3 linked regions of the Caenorhabditis elegans genome follow. The protein of the gene in region 1 purifies or fractionates together with the protein of each later gene. This does not show direct contact. Each region holds a gene or a part of one and is shown in the gene's direction. Other genes may lie near its edges.

Region 1 (8,579 bases):
GAAATTGTCGCTCACCGGATTGTTAACGACGCGATGAATGAGCTTTTCAATCAGGAATAATTTGGGAAATTTTGAGATTTTTTTGGATTTTTCGGCGAAAAATGAATCAAATTTCGGATTTTTGCAGTAGAAAATCGGATTTTCCATCAAAAATCGTCCTAAAATATAAATTTTCAATTTTTCTTCCGAAAATTCCCAGAAAATTCCCAATTTCCGAGCCATTTTTATTTGTGATGTTTGTGCCCCGCCCACTTTTTCCCACCTAATCATTCCATTTCCCGCCCCGCCCCCTTCCGCCAACAAAAATCGATAATTTAATTTTTTTTTTTCCAAATTTTTTTTGAATTTTATCAGAATTTTTGCTAGAAAACCGCACAAAAATTTCGTTATAGTCAATGGGTATTTTTTAAATTTTTTGTTTCCGATTTTTCGGAGATTTTTATCGAAATCACCGAAAAATCGATAATTTCCGTGAAATTGTGATATACCAAATTTTTATTGATTTTTTTTTCTTCGTTTCTCTGTACATTTTCACTTCATTTCCTGTTTCTTCCAATTTTCCTGATACAAATAAATTATGAATTAAATCTGAAAATAATATATTTTTGGTCGTCAACTTTCCCCAGATTTACCTAAAAACAATACTATTACTAATTTTTTTTTTTTTTAATCCTTAAAAATCGATCTGAAACTCAACATTTCTGGTTTTTATTATCAAATTCGAGTTCCCCACTGAATTTGAGGCAGAAATTCGAAACCTAGAAGTTTCTAGCTCTTTTTTGAATAATTTCGAATTTCGACCGCAACGCGCGTCAAAAATTGCTGAATTTTTAGTTTTCAACCTATTCTGGTCGATATGGGGTTCAAAATTTAGCAAATTTTGCGGGGAATTCGAATTTTCTAATTAAATTTCTCCAAATATTCGGGAGTAGTCTGAAAGTTAGAGTTCCAGTTGAAAATTTTGAGTGAAATGGACTAAAAATTAATTTTTACACATTTTCGGAGCCAAATTCGAATTCCCCATCAAATTTCAGTCTGCAACTCGAAAACTAGAGTTTTCTATCTCAATTTTGACATTTCTAGGAGTACGGTAGCGCCAAAAGTACGCAAACACCGAATTTCACGCAATTTTCGAATTTTGAGCTGAAAATTTAGGAATAGACTAAGAAAATAGCGGAGAATTCGAATTTAATTATAAAAATTTTTTGAAAATGTTTTGAATATCACTTGGGCCGAATTTTTTCATTTTTGCGACCAAAACACAAAATTTCCTATTTTTCAAAATCTAGAAAAAACGAGGATGGTCAGCAAATCCCGAAAGGAAGTATCATCTGTTTCCGTCTCGACAATTTTCCCTAACACGCAGAGACCCCCGCCGGAAGACGGGGGTCTCTGTGAGGGGTCATCGAAAATGAGCAGTCCCAAGAGATTTGGACCTTTTTTTTGCAGAAAAACACAATTTTTCTGTAGTTTTTTCCTGGAAAAAGATGTCAAGTTTAGGTGTTTTCATCGAATTTTTTTGGAAATTTCTTGCAAATTTCAATTTTTACAAAACTTAAAATTTTTCCTGAAAATTTTCATTTTGAAATTCGAATTCCCCGCCATTTTCTTAGTCTATCCCTGAATTTTCAGCTCGAAATTCGAAAATCGCGCCAAATCGGGTGTTTTGGGGGTACTGTAGTCGGTGTTTGCGTATTTTTGGGGCTACCGTAACCGGGAAAAATTCAAAATTGAGCTAGAAAGCTCTAGTTTTCGGGTTTCTTTCTGAAATTTTGCAAGTAAATCAAATTGGACATGGAAATTTCGAATATTTTAGCAATTTATCGATTTTCAGAGATTTTTGGCGTTTTTATTAAGTTCAAAAACGATTCGCAGTATTCTAAATGTAAAATTCGAATTCTCCACCGTTCAATTAGTATATGTGTAAATTTTCAGCTCAAAATTCGAAAATCGCGTCAAATTTGGTGTTTCCGGGTTACTGTAGTCGGTGTTTGCGTATTTTTGTAGCTACCGTACCCCAAGAAATTTCACAATTAAGCTAAAAACTTCTAGTTTTCTCGTCTAAAGCTGAAATTTTGCGGGGAAATCGAAACTATTAATGAAATTCTTGAAATTTGAGTTTCAGACTGATTTTCAGACTGTTTTCGGCTCAGCTCCCAAGCCAAAGATCAGTTTTTTTCCCTGTCTAGTCACCACAGCTGTCAGGGGGTCCCAAGAGATGAGCCCTCAAAGATAAATTTTCTTTGCGCAGCCAAAAAAAACTGACCGCCCAGCCATTTATTTTTGACAATTTTTAGACCGACTGGCAGTGCCAGGACTCCCAAAAAGAGGCGAAGCTTCCGTTTTGGGTCCTCTTTTTTCTTATTTTTTGCGGAGAAAAGAAAAGAGGCGTTGATTGTTTTTCTTGTTTGAAAAAGAACCAGAAAACATGAATTTTCATACATTTTCTATTGAAAATTGCCGGAAAATAAGTCTGAAACCCAAATTTTTGAAATTTTATTATAAAAATCAAGTTCCTCGCAGAAATTCAGTTTTGAACTCGAAAACTAGAGCTTTCTAGCTCAATTTTGAAAGTTTGAGAGTTACGGTAGCACCAAAAGTACGCAAACACCGACTACAGTACCCCCGAAACACTGAATTCGACGCGATTTTCGAATTTTAAGCTGAAAATTCATGGTTAGACTAAGAAAATGACAAGGAATTTGAATTTGATAATAAAAATCCGGAGAAATTTTTTGATTTTTTTTGAAATCAAAGATTGAGTCACAAAAATCTTCTGAAAAAGACCTCACAATTTTTTATTTAAATTTTTAGTTTGAAATTTGAATTCCCCGCCAGTTTCTTAGTCTATCCCTGAATTTTCAGCTCAAAATTCGAAAATCGCGTGAAATTCGGTTTTTTGGGGTATTGTAGTCGGTGTTTGCGTACTTCTGGCGCTACCGTAACCCGGGAAATTTCAAAATTGAGCTAGAAACTTCTAGTTTTCGGGTTTTAGCCTGAAATTTTGTAAGGAATTCGAATTTTGCAGTCAAGTTTTAAAATTTTGGCTTAAAAATCGATTTTCATAAGATTTTCAGCCAAAAATTTGAATTTTTTTTTCAAAATTTTTGAAATTTTTGAATTTTCTCCAATTTCTTCCAAACACTCCCAAGTGTCATATTAACCAATTTTGACCCCAAAAAAGTGCAAAATGTCCCCACAGAAAGTCTCCCAAAAGTGCAAAAAACCAGTGAAAAGCTGTCAATCTCATCATCCGGCCGCCGTCTCAGATTTCTCCCCCTTTTTTGCACTTTGCGCGTCAAAAAAGGGCGGCAGAATGAAATTCGATTAGAAATTCTTTCTTTTGTCGCCTTTTTTTCTATTTTTGGGAGAAAAAAATTTTTTGAGAAAAAAATTTTTTTTTTTTTTTGGAAATTTTTTTCCAGATTTTCTTTTTTTTTCTAAATTTTCGATTCTTTTTTAAAAAACATTTCCATTTTTTCAGATGTCAATGCCAACTCCCCAGTATCGGCTCCAAGCGATTCGAGCCCATGACGTCTATGAGCCAGCCGAGGACACGTTTCTCCTCATTGATGCTATTGAGAAGGATATTAAGGTAAAATGAGTAGGAAATTCGAATTTCTCGTAAAATTTCGGTTGGAAGCGCGGAGAACTAGAAATAATTTTGAAAATTTTTGAGAAAAAAAAATTTGGAAAATTTGGCGAACAAAAATTTACAACATTTTTTAGCCTAAAATCAATTGAAACTTTTTTTTTTGGTTTTGATAATAAATTCGAATTCCTCGCAAAAATCCAGTCTAGAATCCCAAAAACTAGATGTAAATTGCTCAATTTTGAAAAATTTTGCATTTGAGCCGCGACGCGACCGCAACGCACCTCAAAATTGCAGATGTTTTGGTTTTTAACCGAAACTAGTCGATGTGGATGTCAAAATTTCGGAAATTTCGCGAAGAATTCGAATTTTTAGTTAAAACCGTGAATTTTCAGAAAGAAATATTCTTAAACTTGAAATTTTTGCCGAGTTTTTAGTCTGAAATTTAAATTTTAAAATTTTCATTGCCGTATTTGAATTCCCTGTAAAATTCTAGTCAGACACTCAAAAACTAGAAGTCCCTAGCTCTTTTTTGAAATTTCGAGGGTTACGGTAGCGCCGAAAGTACGCAAACACCGACTACAGTACCCCCAAAACACCCGATTTCACGCGATTTTCAAATTTTGAGCTGAAAATTCAGTTTTAGACCAAATAAATGGCGGGGAATTCAAATTTAAGGATGAAAATTCGCGGAAAAGTTTTTGAACCAGTGAAAAATCTGAAAAAAATCCCGAAAAACCTCAAATTTCCAGGAAATCCGATCTCGCGACCCCAAGCTTGTACTGGAAATCGGATGTGGTTCGGGAGTCGTCTCGACGTTCGTAAATCAGGCTCTCGGCGGAAATGTGACGTCAGTGGCGACTGACTTGAACCCACACGCGTTGGATGTGACACTGGAGACCGCAAAGCTCAATGATATTAAGATTGATGTGGTTCGTACGGATTTGTTTGCAGGATTGGAGAATCTACTTGGGAAGGTTGGTAAAGTTAGAGAAAAATTTGAAAAGTTGAAAAAAAATCATAAAAGTCGAAGGCTTTTGAAGAAAATTCCTCGAAAACTGGTGTCCACAATTTTTTATCAGAATTTTCATTATCAAATTCGAATTCACCGCTATTTTCTTAGTCTAAACCTCAATTTTCAGCCCAAAATCCGAAAATTGCGTAAAATCGAGTGTTTTGGGGTACTGTAGCTGGTGTTTGCGTACTTTTGACGCTACAGTAACCCTCAAAATTTAAAAATTGAGCTGGGAAGCTCTAGTTCTCGAGTTTCTGACTGAAATTTTAAGAGGAATTCGAATTTACAATTCAAATTCAGAAATTATCAAGTAATTTTGACACGCGCTGCGGTCGCGTCGCGGCTCGAAACTCGAAAATGTTTAAAATAACGCTAGAAAAGTCTAGTTTTTTTGCAACTTATTTAGAATTTAATGGAGAATTCAAATTTCTAATGGAATTATAAAAAAAAGAAATCTCAGAATTTATAGAAAATGTCTCCCGGTAACACAATTTCCGTGATATTTCTCGTGTTTTTATGTAAATTTTTGAACTCTCCACAAAATTCCCAAAGTTTTGACACCCATATCGACTAGATTCGGTCAAAAACCCAGGGTTTTGGCTTTTTAACGTGCGTTGCGGTCGCGTCGCGGCTCGAAACTCGAAAATCTTCAAATTTAAGCTACAAACCTCTAGTTTTCGATTTTCTCACTGATTTTTCGCAGGGATTTCGATTTTGCCGATGAAAATTTAGGTTTTCTGAGTTTTAGCGACGAAAATTTTCTTTTTTTTCCAAATTTTTATTTTCCAGGTAGACGTGCTCCTCTTCAACCCACCGTACGTCCCTACTGACGAAGAGCCCAAATCAAACATCGAATTGACCTACGCTGGCGGCCGAACCGGTAGATCAACGCTCGATCGTCTTTTGCCACGTGTCCCCGAGCTTCTGTCCCCACGTGGTGTCTTCTATCTCGTCGCACTTCACTCGAACGATATCCCGGCACTGCTCAAAGAGCACTCGGAGCAAATGACGGTGTCAGTGTCAATGGAGCGCCGTTGCGGCATCGAACATTTGTATATTTTGAAATTTGTGATGAAGGAGAATAATGTTAAAGCGGCGCCACTTGCGGAAATTGAATAAATTTGTTGTTTTTCTTGGATTTTCGATAAAATTCACGGAACTTCAATAAAAAATCTGAAACCACTGCATAATTTCAGTTTGTATTCGAGAAAACTAGACGTTTCTAGCGATAATTTGAAAATGACCACTGCAAGGCCGCGACGCGACCGCAACGCACCACAAAAACCTTTTTATTGACGAATTCGAATTCTCCACTATTCAATTAGTCTCTCCATAAATTTTTAGCTTAAAATTCGAAAATCGCGTAAAATCGTGTGTTTGGGGGTACTGTAGTCGGTGTTTGCGTACTTCCGGGGCTACAGTAACCCGGGAAACTCCAAAATTGAGCTAGAGAGCTCTAGTTTTCGAGTTTCAGGCTGAAATTTTGCAAGGAATTCGAATTTTACGGTGAAAATCTAAAATTTTGCGATTCAGATCATTTTTAGACAGTTTTAAAAAACTAAAAAAATTCTGATCTGCTTAAAAACTTTTTGCCACATTTTCCAAATCTTCTCAATAGCTCGAATGTGATTGTTCCTAATTTCAAATAAATTTTCAAATGTGAAATCATCTTCTGACTTGAGTTTTCAGTCAGTTTCTAGTCACTTGTGACTTCCAGGCCACAGAAAAGCACAAGAAGCACACACATTTTTGTGCGATTTTGTGTGGAAAGTGACCAAAAAGTCAGTAGCTGGCTAGAATCACAGGCTACTGATAAGAAAATGACTTCATCAGTACAAATTGAACTGATTTCTAGCTTATCAGTATACGAGTATTTAAGTTGAAAATGAGAAAGGAGGAGTAGTCTACACATAATGTCTATAGCCTGGAGTTGCTTTGTTTTAGGGCTTTTTGGTGAGTTTTTGATTTTATAAACTTAAAAAAAAAAAATTTTCCAAAAAAATTTAGAATGTTTTCTATTTTTTTCTTAAATGTCCACTAAAAAATTTAATTTTCCACTTCATTTCTAGCTAAACACAAAAAACTAGACCTCTCTAGGTCCATTTTGAAGATTTTAGTATTTGAACCGCGACACGACCGCAACGCACCCCAAAATCCTAAAATTCTTGGATTTCATCCGAATATAGTCGATATGGGTGTCAAAACTCAGCAAATTTCACCAGGAACTTGATTTTTATTACCTAAAAAAGTTACGATATACCGTTTTTCCAAAAAAAAAACTTTTCTTTAATTTATCTTTAAAAATTTTTGAAAACAATATTAAACAATTTTTTCAGCACTCAATTCGAAAGCCAATTCAACTCAAAATTTTAATATTAATACAAAAAACTAGACCACTCTAGCTCCATTTTGAAAATTCCCATATTTGAGCCGCGACGCGACCGCAGCGCACCCCAAAATCCTATAATTCTTCGATTTTGTCCAAATATAGTCAATATGGGTGTCAAAACTCAGAAAATTTCATGACTAATTCGAATTTTTCAACGAAAAATTCAAATTTTTCAGCCCTCGCCTCCCTCCAGGTGGCACTCGCCAATGATTGCGCCCAAAAAACCTTCAAAACCGGAATTGTGTGTGTCTGCAACATAACTTATTGCGATGAGATCCCAGATATCAACTTACTATCCGGGCAGGCTGCCACATTCACAACTTCCAAATCCGGAGCCCGACTGCATCGGGATGTGGTTTATGCGACAAATAGTGACCCTTGTAAGCAACTTTTTTTTTGAAAATTTTTACCGTAATCTCAAAAACTACAGTAACCAGCATGCACTTCACAATTGACTCGTCAAAAACATATCAGACAATCCAAGGATTTGGCTCAACGTTTTCCGATGCTTCTGGTGCGAATTTGAAGAGCTTACCCGATCAGATGGCTGATACAATTCTGAGACAGTATTTTTCGGATTCTGGTAAGTTATTCGATAGAAAATTCAAATCTCTACAACTTTCCCTCTTGAACCAACATTCTAGGACCAATTTGAAGAAAGTTATAGCAATAGTTCAATGGAGCGCGTTTGCACCATCGAAATTTTTTGCCAATTTTCAATTCCTTGTAACTTTGTTCAACGGAAAGCTACGAAGTTGGTGCAAACTGGAAAATAGTAGATCATAACATTTTCTATCGATTGACATAAATTTTGAATAAAATCTGTGAGGTTTTGCAAGTGCGCTCCATTGAAATTTGGCTATAACTTTGCTCAACGTAGTAATAGAGCGTTGGTTCAAGAAGCGAATATGTAGAACATTAAAATTTATATAAAAATGCAACTGCGCTCCATTGAACTTTTTACCTAACTTTGCTATTTCAGGCCTGAACCTGCAATTCGGACGGGTTCCAATTGCCAGCAATGACTTTTCAAGTCGTGTCTACACTTATGACGATAACCTTGAAGACTACAATATGGCACATTTTAGCCTGCAAAGGGAAGACTATCAGTGGAAGGTACTATTAGGCCTATTAACAAAAAAAGACTGAAAGTTTCAGATTCCGTATATGCAAATGGCGCAGAAGTACAACCACGATTTGAAGTTTTTCGCCGTGCCGTGGAGTGCGCCAGGTACGGAATTTTCCAGAGTTTTTTATGCCATTTGATAGAAAATTTCTTGATCTACAAATTTGCCTCTTGAACCAATTTTCTAGGACGCCGCTAAGTAAAGTTATGTCAAAAGTTCAGTGGAGCGCACTTTCACTAAATCTCAAAATACGCATATGCGCTCCATTGAACTTTCTGCATAACTTTTTTCAACGGGGTCCTATGAAGTTGGCACAAGAGACAAACTTGTAGATCGTAACATTTTCTATCGAATGACATACATTCCGACAAGCTAGTGCAAACGCGCTCTACCGAACTCCCCCCTGAAATCTATTTATTTCCGCTTCCAGGCTGGCTAAAAACCACGAATTCCACC
Region 2 (8,772 bases), on another chromosome or scaffold:
CGACCCGAATTTCATGATGAGACGTCTTGTAAATATTTCAAAAAAAAAATTAAGATGGTTCAACAAAATGTTGAAAAAACACCGATTTTAAGCTAAATTCTCAAATTTTGACGATTTTTCAGTGTAGCAGAAACCAGAGATAAGTTGTTTTTAGTTCTTTATTATGCGGAGTTTGTTGTTGAAGACCGAATATGAGTCCAAATTAAACACGAAACTTGAAAAAATTAATTTTTGGTTTCTCTAACACTTACAAATTGGCAAAATCTGTGAATTTACCAAAATGGGTATTTTCAAAATTTTGAACCAACTCAACCTTTGTAAAATCATTTTGAGTGTATTAGGGAAATGACCAAAATTGCGCTACTCCAATTTCAAATTTAATTACCGAATTTCGAAGAGACGCATCATGACGTTGAGCTGCTTCCCTGTACGAGCAAATGTAAAATAGGACGAAAAGCCGTTTCGGAATCGTACGAGAATCGAATACATCGCCAGTGAAGGTGTTCTGAAATTCAGTAATTTTTTTTGTAAAAATCAAAATCTTATTCTAACCTTAATAAATTCCTCACTCAGACCTTTTCCTTTGGAATGAGCAGAACTATGTGCAAATCCATCAACAACTTCTGCTAAAAGTTGCGAAGCAGGCAGTGTTATATTATCCAATTGTTCTTCCAACCATGACCTAATATTTATCTGGAATGTCTTATAAACCCCCGCAGCTTGAAGTGCATGAATTGTTCGAAGAGCGTACGAGCTCTCGCCATTAGAGCATTTTGTGACAAGTTGGCAAATACTTCTGAAAGTTGAAATTGTGCTGTAAATTCCAAACTCTAGGTTTTACCGCTTAGCAACCTCCATTTCTGTCATGCAACGTGATGTGAAAGTGTTTTTCAGTACAAGAACGTGATTCTGACGATTAACAAGCTCAACTTTTTGTTTCATTCCATAACTTGCAAACTCCGAAAGCTCTTCGATTCGAGAAGACATTATACACGAGTGAACATATATCAGATGCGATCCAAATGCTGATGTGACCTGAAAAAATCGGAAAATTTTTATTTATAATTAAGTTTTTTAAAAGGGTGTCTTCTGATTTTTCATAAAAGGTAATTTTGAAAAATCATATGATTTAAAAGACAGGGAACAGGTTAATTACCTAATATAATTGTTAAAATAATTTAGAATGTTTAATTTTCTATAATTTAGAGCAAAATATTTGTTTTGACCCTACTGCACCTCTAAAAAATTTCGATTAATCTGAAAATAGCGTTAAAATATGTCTTTTCATATTAAAATAATAGGTTTTTGAAAATGTTTTTTCTATGTTAACTTTTTAAACATTTTTTCCGATTTTTATGTATATAAATATTCGTTTTTCGACTCTTTTTCTAATTTTTTTTAATTCGACATAATCTCCTCCATAATTGAATATTTAGAGCAAGATCTTGTAGAGCTGTAGCCGAACGATACCTTTTCCCCTGCCAGAACTCTCCTTCTTGACACATCAAGCCAATTTTCAACAGCTCGATCTGGTGGTTGAACTGCTCCCGTTTGATTAGGCGGATATCTGGATAAATTTTAATTAATTAAAAACTAACATCTTTTCTAGATTACTGTGTGAAAAACGGGACGGCGAGCAGCGCAGACAGTACAAAACATTCATGAGCATCTCCGAATGGACTGGGCTCTACAGCAGTCCTTTGGGAAACCGGTATTGGTCTTTGAGCCGATTGTGTTGATTCAGGATCCGAATCAGGAACAACAGAATCTTGTGAACAGTGAGCTTCTTCACGAAAACTCAAATCCATGGCTTCATCCATACCAGATATTGAATCAGCAGAGTGTAATATTGAGGATGATGGATTTGCATCAGTTCTAAACAAAAATCTAGTGACAGTAATAATTTCTAGTTCAGTCCAAGGTTCCAATGCAGAGTTCATAAGTTCCACGAGACAATATGAAAGACGAGTGCACCATGGAGCAGTTCCCATTTCAGAAAATGATGTGGATTCGGGACGTGGCGAAATAACAGTATCTGCCATATTGAGAAGACGTGCAATTATTAGTGGAAGAACTTGTCGATTGGAACTTCGAATTACCATTTTGTATATTATGGTTTCTTTATCTGTCAAAAGTGGTTCCATGAATTCTAAAAACTGTCTATCATTCAAATGATCAACAGCTAATCTGCATGCAAAAACACAATCCGATCGTTTTTCGGAATATTTTTCGATTATTCGGCGTGCAAAGTATGGATATAGTTCGACGATCTGAAAATATCTACTTTAAAACTTGAAATAGTTTTTTTAATTTAATGTGAAAGCTTACTTTTCCTATAACCAAATTTCTATATCTTGTACGATTTCCTGGTGTTGGATTGTTAGTCAGAATATTGACAATTGTGACCAAATTTTCAGGCGTTTCGATTATAAGCTGAAATATTTTGAATTTTTCATGACAACGCGAGAAAATGAACCAACATTTTCAATGACATCTGGTCCGTGTTCAAAGAGAAGTGCATTTATAATTTCTTCGACTGTGAGTAGCGATGGAAGATAATTCTGAAGCATCAATATTTGATTTGATATCTTTTCCACTGATAATCGATCGATCCATGTTGGTTGTGAAGACATTGATGCGTCGTTGTCTGGAAGTTATTTGGATTTCATTCAAATAATCATTTCGCATTTTCCTTGGAACTATGGGTGAGCGGCAATTCTTCAAGATTACCTATTACAGCTAGGTATTTAATTTTGCCGAATTGCCGGAAACAAATTTCCCAATTGGAACATTCAGTGCCACGAGTTTTTTCAGGCTTATTGTATTCTTTATATGCAATTCAGTTCATTTCCACCTATGCAGCAGATATATCTAATTTGTGAAATTCGAATCCTACGTAGTTACATACGTTTTTGAATATCCCTAACTAAATCCACGATTTCATCGATAAATGTGTCTTTATCTTTTTTCAACATCATTTCTTCAGTCATTTCTACTTCCATTGGTTCTCCGGCTCCTTCTATTCCTCGGCTATTTCCTCGTTTTCTTTGATGAAACGCTGGAGATGAACCTCCATCCGATGATCCTTCAATATCTGATGCCCCATCTAAGTTTTGCGATCCCGATGGCCTATTTAGAGATGCAACTCCGCGAGTTTGCCTACTCAAAATATTGAGTCGTTTTAGTCGTGATGCTACTAGATTCCAATCGACTTTTGCGTGAATTGAGGAATGAATAGTACATGGATCCAAAACTGTGATCAACGGAGCCAGGAGTGCATCCTGAAAAATATAAAATTATGAATGTATTGTAATATTCTCCTACCGGCAAATCAGGATTAACTTTCCCAACACTTGATTGAACAGCAGCAATCTCGAAGTAATTTTTCTTTCTTTCCCAAAAATTCTGAAAGTTAAATAATTTTAATTTCAGCGAATTTCAGGAGTAGCTTACATTTATTCGAGGAGTCAAGCATTTTTCTGCTTTTTCTACCTCCATGACACTGAAATTTGTGTATTCCGCCTCAATTAAAATGGTTTTCTGACGAAAGAAACGTCTAAAAATGTGTGCAGAAAAATGTTTTTTGCGAAAAGGGAAGAAACGCAAGTGCGCTCCAATCACAACTTTTCTCGTGTTGTCCTCTCGGAGTTCTCTAATTCGTATTCGCTTTAATTTAATCAAGGACAAAAACGTTTTTTATTCTTCCTTCGCGCAGTATTTTTTCCCGAATTTTGCAAATAAAAAGTAGAAAGGCAAGCACTGCACATTTAATCTTAAAAAAATCTCAGTTTTTAGCAAATTTCGCGGTATAAAATGACCGAGAATGTCAATTCATCTGGAGATTCGGCAATAAAAAGCGAAGATAAAGAAGAAGTGACAGTTATTCAGGAAGGTTTGTTTTGAGTTCAAATAGAATTAAAAACAAATTAAACATTTTATTTTAGGACAGGCAAAAGTAGGTTTCCATGGACCAGTTTTCTATAATCCAGTTCAGGAGTTTAATCGCGATTTGACGTGAGTTTGTGTCTGAATCTCAGTATTTTAAGGAAATTATCTTTCAGAGTAACAGTTCTTCGTCAATTTTCTGCTGATCATCAAAAATGGGCAGAGGAACAGAAGCAATTGAAAACAGAAGAAGAACCTCCGAAAAAGAAAAATAAATTGGCTATCAATGAAGATGGCAAAATCCGAATTCTCGATGCGCTTTCTGCTTCGGGACTGCGAGCATTGCGTTTTTCGAAAGAAGTTCCCAATGTGGGATTCATTATGGCAAATGATTTCTCCGATAACGCAGTTGCTTCAATTCAAGAAAATGTGAAATTGAATGGAGTCGAGGATATAGTTGAAGCACATTTCGGAGATGCAGTGTAAATTAGTTTTTCTTGATTCGAACTTTAATCTAAAATTAATTTCAGTATGACAATGATGGAACATCGCGGTATTGATAAACGATTCCATGCTGTTGACCTGGATCCATATGGAACTGCTTCCACATTTCTAGACTCGGCAGTCCAATGTGTCGCTGATCGTGGAATTCTGATGGTTACGTGCACTGACATGGCTGTTTTATGCGGAAACACTCCAGAAGCATGCTACAACAAATACGATGCAGTTACCACTAGAATGAAGTGTTGTCATGAAGTTGGACTTCGGATTTTACTTCGAGCAATTGATTCTGCAGCCAATCGTTATACAAGATATATTGAGCCATTGGTGTCGATTTCCGTTGATTTTTACGTTCGAGTTTTTGTCAGGGTACACACAGGAGCTTTTCAAGCGAAGCAGAGTGGAACGTGAGTTGACAGAAAATTTAAGTTTCAAAATAGCTAGATTTAAATTTAATGAAGAAAATTTTCAAAATTGTGAAAAAAACAACTATTTTTAGCTAAAATCTCCAATTTTGTCAATTTTTCTGTTTCAAAGCTGTTGGAAATTAACTTTTACTATATCTCACATTATTTTATTAATTAATGGATATTTAAAGCCGATAGGTAACCAATATCATTATTTGATACCTATCGACTTAAAAAGTGCATAAATTTATAGAGTAACGAGATTAACGATGAAATTATGCAATAGATGATAATAATCAAGTAAAGGTTAATTGACAACCACTGCGAAAGGAAAAGTTGGCAAAACTACAGGTTTTAATTAAAACCAGCTCATTTTCCCGAATTTTTGAACCGACATTGGTTCAAAATCAAGACCGTAAATCCATTAGTTCTCCTTTAATTAGTTAACATTAAATTATATTTTTAGGAAAGTCGGAACTGTGCTTGTATGCTCTGGATGTCATTCAATGGAGCCATTAGTACTGCTTAAACGAGGAGAAGGAAATCAACAAAGCAAATATTCAATTCCAACAGTCCGTCATTCAATCTCTGGTCCAGGCAATCGATGCATCCATTGCTTACTTCCACTCCACCAAATTGGTCCAATTTATCTTGCTCCAATTCACAGCAAACCGTTCGTCACTTCCCTTCTGGAACGTCTGAAATCTACTCCTGAAGCTGAAAGACTTGGAACTCACGGACGTCTTCAAGGTGTTCTTACGATGGTCAATGAAGAACTGGATGATGTTTTATATTATGAGCACAACCAAATGGCGAATGTTGTGAAAGTTTCCGTTCCAAAATCTCAAAGTGTGAGATCTGCGATTTTAAATGCCGGTTTCAAAGTTTCTGGATCTCACTGTAATCCCCGTGCAATCAAAACAAATGCTCCGATGCACTTGCTATGGGATATTTATAGACAAGTTGTAAGTCTCATAAAAACAGTATACGATTCACAAATAAATGTTTTTTCCAGGCTAAAGACACAAGTGTGGATCGCGAGAAGCGTCTGGCCAAAGAATCAGCAGGATATCACATTCTCGGACAACCCATCACCAACACAGTCAACTTCACTCTTCACCCAGGAGCCATCGAACAGGCCAAGAAAGAGAACCTTGTACGGTTCCAATGCAATAAAGGGAAGAATTGGGGCCCTCGCCAGAAAGCAAAAGGATCAGTGAACTCGACGAAGGCAGGATTTCAATTGACCGAGCACAAGGAATAATTTTTAATTTTTAAAATTGTTTTTTTATGAGCGTATTTTATTTTTCAAGTTATATTGTTGTGTTTTTTGTTGTTGCAGTTTGGATAAATATATCCTCTTCTTATTTAGCGCACTTCTACTTATTTTCAGATTGAGGAAAAATCGATTAACATTAGATTCCAAAGGGATTCCCACATTAGTAATTCATCAGCCAAAGAGAATTGATTTATCTTATCACTGTGCCATCTCTTATCGTTTTCATAACATATTTCCCAGAAATGAGAGCGGTTGGCTCTGTTTAATCGATCATCAGAGAATGATTTTACAATATTTATACTTCGCAGTTCTGATACATTTATCTATTTCTACAAGAATTCAGTTATCGTGAGTTTGTTCAGTTTTTCCGATTTTAAAGCAAAAATACAGGGCCGGGTCTCGCCACGAATGATATATTTTTGAAGAAAGTCTGTACAAACTGGTGTGCGCCTTTAGAGAGTACGGTATTTGCATGGTATTCTCCTTTTTCCGTTTATCTATTTGAAGGCAGAACTGGAACGCTGAAAAAAGTATGAGAATAAAAGAAATAACGAAGAAAACTGCAAATTGAAAATATTGTACCTTTTAAAGGCGCAAGTCTTGGTGTTTGTTTAGTTGGAAATGTTTCATTCGTCGCTGCAAGACCGGATACCGTACTTTCGCATTGAGAATCGAAATATATTGCAACAGTGTGACTAAAACTCTTGATTTGTTTTGTTCAGAACTGGAACAATCGAAGGGAAAATCTTGAATGCTACTTATTCGCCGTTTGGAAATCAAACTGCTACCGTATTTTTGGGCATACCATACGTTGAACCTCCAATTGGAGAACTTCGATTCCGGAAACCACGTCTTCTGAAATCATGGGAAGGAGTTCTAGAGACAAAGGATTATAAGCCTGCGTGTATGAGTTATTGGAGGAAAACTTTCAAAAATGGATTTGTTGGAGAAATTTCAGAGGATTGTCTATACGCAAATGTGTTCACAAACCAGTATTGCTTGCAAAATGTCAGTATTATACAGTCTTTGCAATTTTTCACATGATGCTCTCGCCACGAACTACGCCAGAAGGCGTGTGTCCCTTTAATAGTACAGTAACCACTATACGGTTCTAGTAATAACGAGGAAAAAGGGGTTACTGTACTTCTCAAGGCGCATATATATTTTCAGCGGTTACGATTAGAAAACATTTGATGCACCGTGAGAACGGTACCGTCTATTTTAGTGGACAAACGCAAAACTTCTCTCTCAATTTTTTTTTCAATATTCCAGAAAAACTGCTCCGTAATGATTGTGGTACATGGTGGACGACTTGTTTGCGAATCGGGTTCCGCATTTAAACCTGAAATTTTTATAAACAATTTTGTGGGTCAGGACAGAAATATTGTAGTTGTGACATTCAATTACCGCCTCGGAGTTTTTGGATTTGGAGTATTTAATGGAGAAACCGGGGATACGAATGTGGCAATGTATGGTACGTGTAGTTCAAGTACAGTGTATTTTTGTACACTTATATGACTTCAAAGGAGAGCGCATTTTTTCGAAATAGTCCTGCCACTTGCCACTTATTGGTCTCGTCACGCGCTTCAAAAATCAATGGCTGGCGCGTGGCGAGACCATTCCAAATGCGCCCTCCTCAAAGAGTAACAGTTCTTGCGCGCCGAAATTATTTCATGAAATGGTTTATTCGAGTTACAAGAGCTATTTAATTTCGGATTTCTTTTCCTCTTTGTCATCCTTCTTTTCAGCATCTTTCTTCTCGCTCTTCTTCTCCTCATTATTAAAGATTCCCTTATCAACTTCATTCAAAGTCTCATATTGTGGATCCTTTGCATCAGCCTTTTGCACTTTATCCGGTTGCTTGAACTCCTTCTTCTTTCCTTCATCATCTTTCTTCTCGTCCTTGAACATTTCTTCACCCAATCCATTCAATGTTTCGTATTGGGGATCTTTCACATCAGCTTTTTCAACTTTTGTGGGTGCTTTGAACTGCTTTTTCGGGTTTTTGTCCGGTCCGAAGAGATCATTGTTCAATCCGCAGAGAGTCTGAAAATTAAGATTATTTTGATGATAATCTAAAAGGGATACTATACTAAATCTATACTAAATACCATAAAATCAATATCAGATTCGGTTTTGGCGCAACTTTCTGGAAAACTCTCGAAACTTTCTTTCATACTATCACAACTTCTAGGAGACTTCAAAGCAGTATGAAAGTTTTGAAAGCTCTTTTGTATAACTCCTGTTGTGGTCAAGCGCAGACACTTCTAACTTCTAACCACTAAACCTAAAACTTCTTGTCCTCCGTCTGAAATTACCTGATAATTAGGATCCTTTTTAGGAGCGACCGCAGATTCATCCACTGGTTTCTTGAAAGTATCCTTTCCTTTGACATCTGGCTTCTTAGCATCCTCCTTCTTTGGATCTTCTGACTTTTTATCCTCCGCTTTGTTCGATTTTTCCTTTTCCTTTTCCTTATCCTCCTCCTTCTTGCTTCCCTCATTCTTGGACTTCTCCTTTTTCTCACTCTTTTTGGATTTCGCGGGCTCTTCGGGTTTCTGAAAAGGCAATGAAATAAAACAAACTCAACATTCAAATGTACCTTTTCCTCTCCCTTCTCTTCAATCTTCTTCACGGCATCAGCTGGCGGTGGAGCTTTTGGTGGTTCAGGAACCTTCGGAGCTGGCGGTGGTGGTGGTG
Region 3 (7,365 bases), 9.3 Mb from region 1:
TTCAGGATTTGGTCGTTCAATTGTGTAATTTAATGAAAGTATTCTCTGTCCCATATCATCGTCTTCACCTCCCCACGCCCAGAATTGATTTGAATATCCATTAACTGCACGATAATCTGCCATTGATACTGCTAAAACGCCTCCGACAATCTCCTTGTACCACAATTGATATCCCAGATTACTGACAAAAGCTCCAAGATGACGTGGACCAGGTGGGCACGAATACGGGTTCCGATCGTCTTGTGGGAACATGTCGACGTCGTGGAAGACTACACAATCGACTCCAAGGCTTTCTGCGAAGATAAATGCAGCATTCATAATTCGGCCTTTGTTGAACAAGTCGTTTCCATACTGAAAATTTAATATTTTTATTTAAGCATTGCTTTAAAAAAATTCTTACTTGTTCAGTAACAATGAATCGAAAATCTAGCCGCTGTCGTTGAAGTATTGGAATCAAAAAGTCGATCAATCGAGTCAAGTGAGTTTGCCTTTCTCGATATGGAATTATCACTGCGATTTTATCGCGAGCCTGACAATCATCCGGTTTCCATGAGCCACCTGGGCCAAGTTCTGGATGAATTGCGTGTACTTCTCCTTCTTGAAGATTTTGAATCAAAAGTGTGGCTTGTGGAAGAGCGCCTTGAAGATCTGGTATTTTCTCAACTATTGGACAAGATCCGTCCTCTTCGGCGCTGAAAAAATAAAAAAAACGTTTAGTTTAGATTCACAATAATCACTGAAAAAACTTACATTTTAACCGGTGGCTTTGGTTTTGTGACGGCTTCTTCCATATTTAAAAATGTTAGCGTCTGTCGAGCAATTTCCAATTCAACAGGATCCTTTATATCGTGTGTTCTTTCAGCGACTCCGCTGTTTTTTGATTGCTGTACATTGACATTGACAGATCGAACTTGCTCTTCAGTCGCTGCTATCCTGGAGACTATTTAATATTTAGTATCTCACATTTATAAAAATATATCAAAAACAAACCTTCTTTCATCATTTAATGTAGAATTTCTGAGTAGCATTACATAGATTAGTGTGGAGGCGGCAACGAAAATGATAAGTCGTTTCGGAGAAAAACTACGTATTATGCAGTGTGAGGTCCTCATTTTAAGTAGCTTTTACCGATAAATCAATGCATTTGAATTCTGAAAATTGGAAATTACTTTTTGAGGGGATCAGAAAAGAAATCCGGCTGTAAATAGAGTAAATAGGTGTTGAGGGGAAAGTTATGTGACAGAATAAGAGAAAAAGAACGAATGCGTGGCTGTGAGAAGTATATTCAGAACAACTGCAGTGGTTGTCCGGTCTTTTTTGTTGTAAGTGAAGCAACGGGAATTGTTGTGAAGAAGGCGAGAGACAATGCGAAACCTAGGAGACGCCGAGAACTCCCCAACACGAAAGTTGCGCACGAAAATTGATTGCTGGCGCAAATCGAGTTACGCTTGGCGCACTTCACGATCTTCTCATTTTTTTATTTTAATTTTTTTCCTTTTATAACTTTAAAGTTAACTTTCAGTAAATATAACTTTTAAATTATTAAAATTTAACTTTTTAAAATTAAATTGCGCATTTTTCAACTACCTCAATGTATAATTTACGTAAATATTTACATAATTTACTCGTGATTTTCAGCAAAAACATGGACATAACTCCTGCGCTGACAGAAATGGAATTGGATCACAAACCTACTTGCGAGACAGTTCCAGGGTTGCCTCAAAAGAAGCATTATCGGTTAGTTTCTGAGAAAACTAAAGTTTAATATTTAATAAAAAAGGATTTCAGGCAGCGAGCTCACTCGAATCCTCATTCTGATCATGACATTGAATATCCACTGACTCCAAACCAGTGAGTAAAATTAAAGTGTTACCTTTTGTTAAATTTTGACAATTTTTAGTATGGATTGGACCAAATATTACGGCGATTACACAAAAGGACGTCAAGTGGATTTTGCAGACATCGGATGTGGTTATGGAGGTCTTTTGATGAGATTGTCACCTAAATATCCTGATAATCTGATGATCGGTATGGAAATTCGTGTGAAAGTGTCGGATTACGTAAACGAAAAAATCCAAGCACTTCGAAAGCATCACGCTGAAGCTGGTCACTACAGAAATGTAGCCGTTCTCCGATCAAATGCCATGAAATACATGCCAAATTATTTCCACAAAGGACAACTTTCCAAGATGTTCTTCCTTTTCCCAGATCCACATTTCAAGAATAAGAAGCACAAATGGCGGATCATCACTCCAACACTGCTCTCCGAATACGCTTATGTGCTTCGTGAAGGAGGTATGAGAGTGACCTTGATCGTACCAGTGATCACAAGTGCAGATAATGGAATAGGAATAGTTTCAATGATAAGAATAGCGTATCAACGGTTGAAAATGTGTCTTTGTGTCCCTAATTCTCGCCATCAAACAATATTTATCATCTAACCGCGTGGCCGTATGCTGCTGCGAGACATTTCATCACCGAACATTTTTCTTGACTTTCGATAGATCTCAGAAAACTTTCCAATCTCTGAAGCTTTAATTGTTTCAAATTTGCACGTAGGCTTCTATCTTCAATTCCCTGCCCAATAAAATTAACAATCCGTTCCATGTGTGCCACGTGAGAACTATAGCTAAGTAGAAACCTGTTCCTTTCTCTGTAGCTCTGCGCACCTACAAGTGCATTTTCCCGCTGTGCCTATTGATCTTTGTTATAACTTTTATTTTTTCAGGTATTATCTACACAATCACTGATGTCAAGGATCTACACGAATGGATGGTCAAGCATCTCAGCGAGCATCCACTTTTCGAACGGCTGACTGAAGAAGAAATGAAAAAAGATCCGATTGTGGAAATGCTCTTTGAAAGTACTGAAGAAGGACAAAAAGTGACTCGAAATGACGGAGGAAAGTGGCCAGCAATCTTCAGGCGACTTCCGAACCCGGCCTTATAATCCCCTCTGCCTACTTCCAACATTCATCAATTTTTCACGAGACTCTCCCTCCTCCTCCGAGGTTGTTATTTAACTATTTTGTTGATTTTGTGTTTTTGTCTGTTAAATGAAATCCAATTCTTCTAATAGTCTGATTTTTTGAACTTATTTCCATCGAGTTTTCAAACTCTACTTATATATCTATTAAATTTAATCAATTATTAAATTTTTAAATCGCATTTTCAGCAGATACTCAGTACTGGGCAAAATGGGTGGCGGTGGCGAAGATGAGTACGAATCACTTCCAACACACAGCGTCCCGGTAAGAATTTTAATTAATTAAAAGAGATTGACAAAATTGAAGATTTCGGCAAAAATTAACCGTTTTCTTCAAAAAATACGTGTTTTTTTTTGAGAAGTTCCATTACGAATTCGGCGCATTTTTATTAATTAAAATTTTTTTATTAAATTAATTTTCAATTAGTGTTTCCCATTCTATCACAATCTAAGATTCAGGTGCACTTGACAGCTGGAGCCCTGGCCGGAGCCGTTGAGCATTGTGTCATGTTTCCATTCGATTCGGTCAAAACGAGAATGCAATCACTTTGTCCGTGCCCTGAAACGAAATGTCCAACTCCTGTACATTCACTGATGAGCATTGTTAAACGAGAAGGATGGCTTCGACCGCTACGTGGAGTTAATGCAGTTGCTGCAGGCTCAATGCCAGCTCACGCTCTATACTTCACAGTTTACGAGAAAATGAAGGGATATTTGACGGGAAACTCCGCGGGACACAGCAATACGTTAGCATATGGAGCTTCTGGAGTTGTTGCAACACTTATCCATGACGCTATCATGAATCCAGCAGAAGTAGTGAAGCAAAGAATGCAAATGGCTTTCTCTCCATACGGATCATCGTTGGAATGTGCTCGATGTGTTTATAATCGGGAAGGTGTGGCGGCTTTCTATAGATCATACACGACACAGCTGGCAATGAATGTTCCATTCCAAGCAATTCACTTTATGAGTTACGAATTCTGGCAGCACGTCCTGAATCCGGAGCATAAATACGATCCGAAATCACATTTAATTGCGGGAGGACTTGCCGGCGGATTGGCAGCTGCTTTAACGACTCCAATGGATTGTGTGAAAACCGTTTTGAATACGCAACAAGCTGCAGAAGCTGATCCAGCAAATAGGCGAATTTTCTTGCAGGTGAGTTTTTTTGAATTCTTCGCATTTTTTTGCTATAATTGAAAAGAATGAATTACAGGCTAGGTATCGTTATCGTGGAATTTCTGACGCCGTACGGACAATTTATTCTCAACGTGGACTATCCGGATTCTCGTGTGGATTACAAGCTAGGGTCATATTCCAGGTAATGTCTAAGATTTTTGATTTTCGTGCCAAAAAATACGGTAACCGGTCTCGAAGCGATCGATTGTTTTGAATGCAAAGGGTCTGCACCTTTAAGAATTACTGTAATTCCCAACTAACGGTTACAGCGAAAAAAATTTAGATTTTTCCAGAGAAAATCTAGAATTTCCGATTTTTTATTTTTTTGTAAAAATCGGAAAACATAAAATTTAGATTTTCTGGAAAAAAAAATGTTCAGAAAAAAAAAACACAAAAATTTAGTTGCCAAATTTTTATGATATTATTCCAATAATCAAGAAAAATTTCGAAATATCAGAAAATCACAATAACAAAAAATCGAAGAACAACTTTAGTAATCCTTAAAGGCGCACACTCTGTTAAATTTAAGAAAATCGGCCGCTTCGAGACCTGGTACAGTATCCGGGCAATAGAAAAACCTCAGTTTAATAATTTTTATTCCAGGTTCCTGCAACTGCTCTCTCCTGGTCCGTTTACGAGCTTTTCAAATTCATGTTGTCTTTCGAAGGAGGTCATTCGAGTTGATAATTTTGATCTTTTCTCCAATTTTTCCCCCAATTTTTCCTCTTTTCCAAGGTTTCTCCTCATATAGGTTAGGTTCAATAGTTCTCATTTCTTTTTGTTGTTTTTTTTTCATATTACTCTCAGTTTTCTATGTTTCTTTTTTTTACAAAACACGTGTCAAACCCGTGCAGATGCCTTCTAGATTCTTTTTGTTGTGTTCTGAAAGTTTTATCGAATCCAAATGATTTCTTTGACTATCAACCTATGCGAGCATTTCTAGTGGAAAAGTGTTCATAATAATTGTATCCCATCCCTCCCTCTCTCATCCCTTTATTATTCGAGACAAAAATTCAAATAAATACATAAAAAATTAGTGTTTCCACTGAATTTATATGTTCTTTGTGCTCCGTAGTTTCACACGGAAATTTGTATCTTGTGTCTATTTCTCTCTTATCTCTCATTTTCTCGTTTTTACTGCGATTGGCGCTGATGTTCAGGCGACCGCCTCGACTTCAACGTCACTTTCTTTCTCTTTCACAATTGTTAGTGATCTTATAATGTCCACGAGGCTGAAGATTTTTCGATTTTTGGCGGAAAATGAGCGAAAAATTCTAATTGTAAAATATATCAAATTCACAAAAATCGATTTTCTTTTCGATTTGACCTTTGAAAAAAAGTTATTTTTCTTCTTCTCACGTCCAAATTTTTTAATCAAAAAGATCAATCGATAGATTACGAAAAAAGGTTTTTAAATTTATTTCTACATATTTTACAATTTTCTTCGAAAAATGACCATCGCTGGATTTTGTGCTTTATCTCTCATTCAAGATCACTGTTGTTGGACAACGCCACAGCATTGTTCTGTTGCAGAGCTTGGTAATTTTGGCATAATTTGTTGATTGAACTGCCTCTTATTACACAGATTCACAATTTTCCGATTTTTTGGTCAAAGGTTACGTATCTGGTCTCAAAGCGACTGGTTTTCCAATAGAAAGAGTGTGCGCCTTTAAAGAGTACTGTAGTTGTCAACTCGCGAATTCTCTCATAAATTTTAAAAGATAGCACTTCTGAAAAAGTTATGAAAATTGATACAGTACTCCTTAAAGACGCATACTCTTTCCCAATAAAGCAAAGCGGTCGTTTCGAGACCCGATACTGTACTTTTATGCGAAAATCGCCAAATTTTGCATCTACCTTATGATAAATCGTATATATTTTTTTTCGCTTGAATCTTATTCCTTAAATTTTTTTTGTTAAATTAAATTTTCCAGGTACCATGCCTTGCCCAACTCAAGTCTCTGGTCGCTGTGTCGCCACGACTGCCGCCGTTCTCGCGGGAGGAGCTCTTATTGGATACCTTGTAAGTTCAAGCCTTCCCCTGATGTAGCCTCTTCAATTTCACTAATTAATTTCAGGTTGGTTACAAGTTCGGACAGCGTTCGGCTCGCTGCAACTACAAGATCCAGCTCGACTCGAATAAGATCGTCGACACCGTCGATATTGAGGATATTGGAGAGAAGAAGGCATTCTGCAGATGCTGGAAGAGCGAGAAGTGGCCATACTGTGACGGATCACATGGAAAGCACAACAAGGAGACTGGCGACAATGTTGGCCCACTCATCGTCAAATCCGAAAAGAAGTAAACGTCGTCTCGACAAATCATTGATCTTCATTATCTATTGACTTCTAAATGTTCTTGTGATCGTCGAAAACCATCGGTTTTATATGATTTAGTACGGATACAGTGAATTAATTTTTAGTATAAATGACAAGTGTTTTGAATTTTATTTAATATGGATGCAATAAATAAATTACAGTAAGGCAAAAAAGTACAGAAAAACGGGGGAAAATGCAAAAGCTGAACACCCTAATGATCAATGATCAAATACTGAATCATAATCCACAATTAATTTATAGCAGAAGTTATTGAGGTTATTCAATTGAGAAATCGGCACTTCTTGATCCGTTGGCCACGTCAAATTTGGACCGAAAACGACACTCAAATTGTTTGCAGTCATCAGATTCACTTTGCTGTTTTCGGCGACTCGAGTTAGGAATTTGATGACTGTTTTCAGAAGAATGTAGTTTTCACGAGGCAGAAGCTTCACAAATTCTTTCACGGCGGCGCTTTTCTCGGTTTTCGATACTTCTGAAAGATTCAGATATTAAATAAACACTGTTTTCAATTGACTTTAAATATTTTCTCACCTGAAAGAGCCGCAAGTTTCGGATAAAGCCTATTGGTCGTTAGGGGCTCTCCGAGGCTCCTGAAGAACGTCTTCAAAAGTACAGAAGCATGCAGGGAAGCCACGTATTCGTTGTCCTTGTACTCTGGATCATTTTCGAAATCAATTTTTTCGCCTGAAACAAATATTTAAAATTAAAATCAAAATCAAAATTCAATTTCCTAGCCTATTAAATACCTTTATTAATTCTATCCTGTAGCCTCTTTATACTTCCAATATTAGCACTTTTCCTGAAAACTCCTTCCATTGTCAACGCGTGAGCTTCCAGATACTCGATGAGCTGGTCAACGAT

What was found.
Region 2: the proteins of mtq-2 (region 1) and trm-1 fractionate together in Caenorhabditis elegans (co-fractionation; one large-scale study listed by BioGRID). This does not show direct contact.
Region 3: the proteins of mtq-2 (region 1) and metl-1 fractionate together in Caenorhabditis elegans (co-fractionation; one large-scale study listed by BioGRID). This does not show direct contact.

Annotation. Positions count from the first base shown.
Region 1 is NC_003280.10:2,184,363-2,192,941, reverse strand, and holds mtq-2 (Methyltransferase HEMK2), read left to right. Parts: upstream 1-3,484; coding exon 3,485-3,595; intron 3,596-4,344; coding exon 4,345-4,569; intron 4,570-5,396; coding exon 5,397-5,726; 3' UTR 5,727-5,793; downstream 5,794-8,579. Other genes in the region: Y59C2A.2 (Membralin), read left to right, coding at 1-60; gba-2 (Putative glucosylceramidase 2), read left to right, coding at 6,521-6,560, 7,173-7,376, 7,427-7,579, 7,979-8,112, 8,155-8,227, 8,554-8,579.
Region 2 is NC_003283.11:14,180,511-14,189,282, reverse strand, and holds trm-1 (tRNA (guanine(26)-N(2))-dimethyltransferase), read left to right. Parts: upstream 1-3,673; 5' UTR 3,674-3,752; intron 3,753-3,795; 5' UTR 3,796-3,813; coding exon 3,814-3,892; intron 3,893-3,944; coding exon 3,945-4,014; intron 4,015-4,061; coding exon 4,062-4,367; intron 4,368-4,415; coding exon 4,416-4,793; intron 4,794-5,259; coding exon 5,260-5,758; intron 5,759-5,808; coding exon 5,809-6,057; 3' UTR 6,058-6,159; downstream 6,160-8,772. Other genes in the region: ints-2 (INTegrator complex Subunit homolog), read right to left, coding at 386-505, 553-796, 842-1,035, 1,471-1,567, 1,615-2,270, 2,329-2,433, 2,481-2,647, 2,909-3,281 and 2 more; ZC376.8 (DUF236 domain-containing protein), read right to left, coding at 7,774-8,118, 8,391-8,630, 8,675-8,772; cest-2.3 (Carboxylesterase type B domain-containing protein), read left to right, coding at 6,353-6,420, 6,795-7,080, 7,345-7,546. UniProt on the Caenorhabditis elegans protein: Dimethylates a single guanine residue at position 26 of most tRNAs using S-adenosyl-L-methionine as donor of the methyl groups.
Region 3 is NC_003280.10:11,467,843-11,475,207, reverse strand, and holds metl-1 (tRNA (guanine-N(7)-)-methyltransferase), read left to right. Parts: upstream 1-1,632; 5' UTR 1,633-1,645; coding exon 1,646-1,737; intron 1,738-1,788; coding exon 1,789-1,851; intron 1,852-1,900; coding exon 1,901-2,295; intron 2,296-2,728; coding exon 2,729-2,949; 3' UTR 2,950-3,073; downstream 3,074-7,365. Other genes in the region: ngat-1 (Beta-1,4-N-acetylgalactosaminyltransferase), read right to left, coding at 1-351, 401-692, 751-933, 991-1,112; slc-25A37 (Mitoferrin), read left to right, coding at 3,197-3,250, 3,439-4,143, 4,190-4,306, 4,768-4,848; cisd-1 (CDGSH iron-sulfur domain-containing protein 2 homologue), read left to right, coding at 5,616-5,703, 6,099-6,187, 6,243-6,470; rga-1 (Rho GTPase-activating protein 68F), read right to left, coding at 6,702-6,976, 7,036-7,188, 7,251-7,365. UniProt on the Caenorhabditis elegans protein: Catalyzes the formation of N(7)-methylguanine at position 46 (m7G46) in tRNA.